Xenopus tropicalis: one gene and its partner. The protein of the gene in region 2 interacts with the protein of the main gene of each other region in a pairwise test. Links are inferred from orthologs where the notes say so. Each region holds a gene or a part of one and is shown on either strand. Other genes may lie near its edges.

Region 1 (3,702 bases), on a different chromosome or scaffold from region 2:
GAGGAGAGGCAAGAGCTGGGTGGGAAGGGAGCCGAGTACAGCAGGCAAGGAAATCTGAGAGAATGCCACAAAGCTGTGCCCGAGGGAAGTTACTGGCAGAGCTATATAGCCAGCTGAGGATGCAGGTCAGTGCCCATCTGGCACAAGGAAAGCCTGCATGGTACATACATAACCCAGTATAAAGAGAAGGATTATTATAGGCACATGGGTTTAGGTGCCACTCAGGTCAAACCCAGAGAGGGAGAGAGTAAAAGACTTACACTGCGGTGCAAACTGGGTCACCCCATAAAGCTCAGTGGGTACAAATGGGCTGTGAGTAAAACAGGCCAAGTAACTGAAACCTACCAACCTGCCTGGGATTAAACATGTATGTGCACGAGGCCTGCAAATAAAACAGGTTACATTTTGGGGAGGGGGTAAAGGAGAAGGGAGTTTTCCAGTTCGATAAGTGAATGGAACACCAACACCTACCACACCTACTATTTGTCAAGTCTCCCATGATCTGCACACAAGCCTTGTGCAAGTGTATGTGCTGTTCGCAGTGACAGTGCCCAGAGAACTCGGGCAGCACAGGGCATTGGCACACCGGCATTTAATGCTGGTGGTCGAGATCACAAACTGAGGAGCCCCAAACTGCCCCCATGACACGCGGTTGCCAGGCAACATTTCTCTGAACATACAGAATTCATAGACCCCCAAACCCTCCTGCATAGCCATAGCACTTACACTAACTGCTCCTACAAGCTGAGATCTAAGCAAGACACACACCATAACCAATGGATGTGTAATCCCAGGGCAATTACAGTGCAATTTCATTTCTTTTTTAATTCCCCACGCCTGTTTGGCCCACGGGTGTAAACTGCCTCATATACAGCAACTTACCTAATTCTGCATAAAGCTATTTTTTCTTAAATAATTTGCCCTCTGGGAAATAAAAAGGAATTCCACTCAAACCCTTCTACCCAATGAAGGGCAAAAATACCAGCATGTGGGTGGAATTCCCCTTTAAATCAAATAAGCAAGGATTTGGCAAAAAGCCTGAAGGATTCAGAGACAGAAATAATAAAGGCAAAGCAAAATGCCCAGCTGACAAGTGGGAGTCCTATCCTGATAGAAAGAGGAGGAGGTGGGGGCTGATGAATTAATATCCTGTGCAGACCTGTGCTTTCCTCACTACCCCACCCTGCATTCCAGACTTGCGAGAGGTCAAACAGTGCTTTAGCCACTGACCCTGAACGAAACACAACCTGCAGGGTGAAAGTCTGACTCCATCTTCTCAGCCTCACCAATGTTTAACCCTGGCAGAGCTGAAAGTACAGCTAATGCCATAATGTCTCCCAAACCCAGTGAATAATTATACTAGTAACCTCCATTAGCAACTCTCATCCTGCTTCTGCCAACAGAGTGCAAATCCCAATAGCTTAAATGGAAAATTTGTGCAATCCCGATCCCAGTTCAGTTGTTGCTGAATTATAACTTTCATCACAAACAAATTAAGAGAGATTGGCCAAGCACAGTGTGGTGGAAATGGCTGGATTTGCTGGGAAGATTCTGCACCTAATGCGCTCGTCTGTACACTGGGCAGCTGCAACGTAAGAGAAGTATGTGACTGAGCAAATAAACAGAATGGTAACCCGAGAACTAAGTGGCGAGAAGATGTGATGATATAAAGGGCAAGCAGAGCTGGACACAATGCAACCCAAGTCCAGGTCTCTTCTTCGTCCAAAAATGCTTTGTGCCATACCCTGTAACTTGCCCAGGCAGAGCAGAGGGTTCTGGGGCACTGGAAGAGTGCGGCGGTGCAACACTGAGAAGGAAAGTACCCCAGGCTGCTGCATTTTTTAAAGAGAGGGAAGGGCCCAGAGTCTGAAGTGACTGAACTGAATCACTCAGCATCCTCCCCAGGGATATTTCCTTGCCCTTAAAGGATATACCTTCAGTAAGTTAAACACCTTAAGTGAGTAAAACAGAGGAACTACACACCCAATTCCTACCACCACCCAAGAATGACATGGGTGCAACTACAGAGGAAAGCAACGTCTGGGACTGCAGGGGGGTGGGGGGAGTTAGGCACAGACTGATAATCTGTTACAGTGTATCCCCATATTCCCAGAGTTTAGCTGAACCCTAAAATGCTTTTGCTTCATTACCCCACTACATCATCAATCCCTTTTAATAAAAATACAACACCAAAAGCCATGAATTCCGCCTTAAATACACCCTCATAGCCAAGGCTTTATGAGGTCATGAGTTAGAACTGGCACATAGTGATGTCACATGTGTCACATGACCCAAGGAAGTGTGAGTTTCACTGAACACCATCCAATGGATGGAAGGCAGCTGTCAGGCAGACTTTCGTATTTTATTAACACTGGAGAAAAACAATGTTGTCTCTGTGCCCCTGTAGCAAATGTAGCACAGATACTTCCTTCTATTTCTATTTCCCAACGACTTCCCCTAGAAAAGAAAAGGGTTTCCTGTCCTTGTAGCCACAAACACCCTACTGACCCTCCTTTCCTCCCATGCTTCACTGACTCACGACCCCAAAACACTTCCCCACACTTTGGAGCCTGATCACCTGATCTATTCACACAGTAACAACCTGGATCGATGTACTCTGGGCTTCCCAGCCCTGTATCTACTATTCCATTTACGGAATCCAGCAGCCCCAGTGTCACCGCCCTGACAGGCTCCAGCTGGAGCGGGAATAGCTTGGCTACAGCCTAAAGTTCAACCACAGCCGGTGATTCTCGCCATAAACGTCAGCCTACATCCTTGTTACCGAGAGGTTTAACCTCCAGAGTGTGCAGCAGAGGCTGCCAGTCGCCCCCCAAGCCCCGGTTACCTTTAAACAGATAATCGTATTCGTCGTCCCTGGTACCCATCCTCGCGGTACTTCTGACGTTCGCGATGTGCGGCTAACAGCAGCAACCGTCAGATCTCCAGGAAGCCCGGCAGTGTCCGAACCCCTCCCAGAAACAGGAGCAGCACTTCCGCCCACTCCTGCACGGAAACGGCCCAACCGTCACTTCCGGGTTACCTGGCAACTGAGCGCAATGGTGCGAGTCTGACAAACAAGATGTTTCTTTTCATGTCTAACGGGAGGTGCTTAATGTATGAGTAAAGGGGCTGCTAGCAACGTTGCTGCACGTTTCCCATGTTTTATCAACTGAAATGCCTTTGTGCGCACCTACTTGCACTGTCGGCGAGGGGTTGGGAGTAGTAAGATGGCGGCCTTGATTGAAGCTGGGTGGGCTGGGCAGCCGCAGTGAGAAGTGGAACAAAAACAGAGATTGTGTTTAAACGAGGAGACTTGGACCTGAGATTATTTGAAAAGTAACCGACAATGCAAATATGAATATATCTATAATTATAAGGATATATGAAGGAAAAACTCTATGGAAAAATTCTAAAGGTGTATGTTGTGAAGTGTTCATAGACGGTTCCATGGTGTAATGGTTAGCACTCTGGACTCTGAATCCAGCGATCCGAGTTCAAATCTCGGTGGAACCTAAATTTTGATTTATATCACATTTATTGCTTGAAAAAATGTAATTGATTAGCAATTACTTTTTATTAATGAAATATCAACAATGATTATATACATTAATGCTGTTCTGTATAACATTTTACATTATAACATTCTGGATAGAAGTGTCTGCTTTATTTTTTGGAACTGCTTTTAACACAGATGGAGATAAT
Region 2 (3,654 bases):
ATAGTAGCTAAATGTTAAGCATCACCCTATTCCAGTAAGGCCACTATCTGCACAGACCCTGTATGTTCATCCCCTGTCTGTGTGGATTCCTACACCACATATCATACAGGCATCTTAACTGGCACCTGATTAAATGTATCATTTTGTGTTAGACTAATGTCAGACCAGGCGTATGGCATATATTTTCACGTATAGCCGAGCAAAGTCATGTGCCTGCACCCGAGCGTATTCCATTAATTCGGGTGCAGGCACAGGTAGGAGGCGTATGACTGTATTTTCGGCAAACGTTTTTGAGCTTGCCGAAAATATACCCCAAATGCCTGGTCTTACATTAGTCTTAAGTAATAGGGTCCATTACGTTATTTTATAAATAAAGGCAAATAATTATTTGCTGCAAGCTTGGCTAAAAAAGGTTTGAGTTGGTGAATGACACTTTGAATGAAAATTCTTGTAATCATGGGACACAGAAGTACTGTGATGTTGGTTCTTCTACAAAGAAGCAGGGCAAGTCATGCTGCAAGCGACCCCTTTAGGGTAATGGCACAAGTAGTATTTGGAAGGTAGCAAATTCCCTATTCTGTAACCTCAGTTGCCATCAATTATCTCTCAAAAAAGCTGAATTTCATGGTCCAGTGGGATAATTACTTAATGGTACACAAAAGCCAACTATAAAGCTGCGCCCACTTGTTTTCTATAGAAGGGGACAGATTTACATGGATCACCTGGGATTCTCATTGGAGGATTATTTTGCATTTAATGCAGCTGCAGGCGTGACTAATATTTAGTCCTGCAGCACCAGTATCTATGACAGATGTCACTTGACTTTCTGCTAATGTGTATATTATGTACACTTCTTCCTCACTTTTGCATTGCCAGGGGCCCCCTCTTTCATAACCTCGGAGCCACCTACCTACATTATTATTGCATATGTCTGTGCTGATTTCAGATGTTAAGAGAAAGAGTGATGGATAAATGGCTATACTTGCACATCAGCCTCTTTCCTGTGCTTATGAATGGAATCATGGTTCTTCTATTCCTGCAGCTCTCAGATCAGGTTCTGACTGCCGTGGAGGGTAACATGCTGTCTGTGGAACCAGTGGTGCAACCCATATTGCCTGTTGTCAAAGCTTCTGCAGTGGAACGTGGGGGACCCAGGTATTTGTGCTTATTAAATGTATTAGGGCACAAAATAGCAAATGATATGCAGGGCAACGTGTTTTCTACCCACACTGATTCATGGGACAAAATGCTTTCAGTTGGCCGCCATTCTCACATGAAAGCACTGGTGCCCTTGCTAGCCAGGTCATTGTTGGAAATATTGTTGGAAACATTGCAGTCAGCATTACTGACAAGCGAGTACACTTGCAGTTGCAGGCAATTGCCATACATGTGAATGGAGAGGCATTTAAAGTATTTTGTCCCCTACCCATGGAACTAGTTACTCACCCATGGCTGCGGCAGCAAAACACTCCCTATGTGCCACTGCCCTTAGTTTGCATGGGCCGCAACATAACTGTTTGAATGAACCCCGTTAATGTGAATATGTTATATAAGTTTTGAGTGCTGCTCATTCTGTGCAGCAGTGTTTATGTTCAGCCGGTGCATAATCAGTTTGTCTTCTTTGCATCTGTTGGGCCTATTCTCCAATTCCACCTAATGCAATCCACTGCTGCTTTAACAGTGTTATCCATGTCATTTAGCCAAAGAGTTACCACTCCCATATACAATGCATAGCGTGACCTCCTCCATGTTTTTCTCTCTCTTTCTTCTTTCCAGCGGGTGTCGGGTAGAGGTTGTAACGTAAGTGAGATGAAGCATAATTCTGCTTTAATTAACTCACTAATGACTTGGACTAATAAGAGAATGGCTTCTTAGGGCTGTCTTTAACCCAGTAACTGCAAGACTAATTTTAATGAAAAAAAAGCTTTATTTGTTTGCAAAGTGTCAGCAAAAACATGCAGAATACTGTATATACATTTATTTGTCCCTAGAAAGCATATCTTAGGTAGGGTTGCAACCTCTGCTGGCTTTTTCTCTGGGCAGGGGGCGGGCAGTGATGTCACGGGGAGGGCAGGCAATGACATCACAGTGGGCAATTGCCACATCAATCTTAGCGAGGCCTGCCTGGTTTTCCTTATGTGGAAAACTGGGCAGCCTGGTTTTTGGAAGGGCTGTCTGGGTCAAAACCCTAATAATAGGTCCACTGATTGTCATGGTATACTTGTGGATTCTATCTATCTGTTTGTCTATTTTTGGGCCCAGTACCGTTATACTGCTATAATATTTGGGGCCTTTTGTGATAAACTGCACCATATACTGCACTAAGTATTGGTCAGGGTCCCAGAATAACCGACCATCACTGCCTTGCATAAATGTACAATGTTGTGCTTGAACTGCAATTGCTGGGAGATACCTGGGGTCAAACCAGCCAACTGAATTCTAATTTTGTAAATGACTTGGACTAATGCTCTGGGTCACACGCGGTACAGGAAAAAAAAAACAAAACTGCCCGGCATATTTATACCAGTAAATACAGTATATTCCAGTATATACACAGAAGAATAATTATTTATAAGAAGCGATGGTCGAAATACAAACAGAATGGAGGGACAGAATACTTTAATGGGAAGATAAACAATTGAATAATGCTTTCTACTGAGTCACTATTGACCCACAGACCATAACACAGCAGTGTGAGTCAGTTCAGCAACATTAATGGGAGGCTGTGATTTAAAAAACACCCACCAAAGTGCGGGACATGTTTATTAAATCTATTTCTTGAATGCTCTTTATTTGTTTGGTTATTAAGCTCCTTCAGACTAACAATCCTCTCCCTGATGCAAACAACAACAACAACTGTATAGGTGTGGGATCTCTTATCCACAATCCTGATATCTAGAAAACCCCCATAGAATCCAGTGGGACTCCAGTTCTAAATTTGGTAATGATTTCCTTTTCCTCTGAACGACCCTGGTTTGCTCCATTAAAAGCTATGGTTATCATCACTGAATGCATCTTATTAATAAATATTAGTGTTTATTTATAGAGCCCCTTTGTACCTCTCCCCGCCCACCCCTCTTAGATATATTCAAGGGGCACGCATCTGAAAAAGAGCGCAGACCTGCGAATATATAAGAAATGATTAATACAATGTGCAAAGTGTTAGAAAATGCCTGATTTTTTTCACTTTGCACACTGTGCTGTTCAGTGGCGTAACTATAGAGGATGAACTGGGGGGGGGGGGAGGGGGGCGGTGGCGCCTTGGGGGACAGGGGGCTTAGACCGTGAGGTTTGCTTCCTCTATAGGAACCCCTAATTCCTGAGACCTAGTGGGCAGGGATGGGGGACATGAGGGGCAGGTGGAAATGTATGGAAATGCTTACATTGTGCACCACGACCCTCCAAAGAATTTTTTGCTTGTTTTTATTTCTTGTGTTTCTTGTTCCCTTTCTCACTATTTGTTGACTTTCACTGCAGGAAATGTGCACTCAGCGGCCTGTCTCGCTCCTGCCGCCATCGCATCAATCTAGGGGATTCTGGAAATTATTACTTCATCTCGCCATCCTGCCGGTACAGGGTGAGACACCCTTAGTTTACTATCTTTTTAAGAGAGGGCAACATTGTCCATTCTCTGTTTATCTAGCACTGAAATAC

What was found. The genes of interacting proteins can lie anywhere in the genome.
Region 1: the proteins of rab3il1 (region 2) and rab11a interact in a two-hybrid assay, tested with the Homo sapiens proteins (2 studies listed by BioGRID and IntAct). The two-hybrid records come from large-scale screens. The link is inferred for Xenopus tropicalis from reciprocal best matches to the Homo sapiens genes RAB3IL1 and RAB11A.

The regions. Positions count from the first base shown.
Region 1 is NC_030679.2:116,825,464-116,829,165, reverse strand, and holds the start of rab11a (ras-related protein Rab-11A), read right to left. Parts: upstream 2,936-3,702; 5' UTR 2,886-2,935; coding exon 2,846-2,885; intron 1-2,845. UniProt on the Homo sapiens protein: The small GTPases Rab are key regulators of intracellular membrane trafficking, from the formation of transport vesicles to their fusion with membranes.
Region 2 is NC_030680.2:22,488,782-22,492,435, forward strand, and holds part of rab3il1 (guanine nucleotide exchange factor for Rab-3A), read left to right. Parts: intron 1-1,042; coding exon 1,043-1,155; intron 1,156-1,776; coding exon 1,777-1,800; intron 1,801-3,477; coding exon 3,478-3,577; intron 3,578-3,654. UniProt on the Homo sapiens protein: Guanine nucleotide exchange factor (GEF) which may activate RAB3A, a GTPase that regulates synaptic vesicle exocytosis. Promotes the exchange of GDP to GTP, converting inactive GDP-bound Rab proteins into their active GTP-bound form.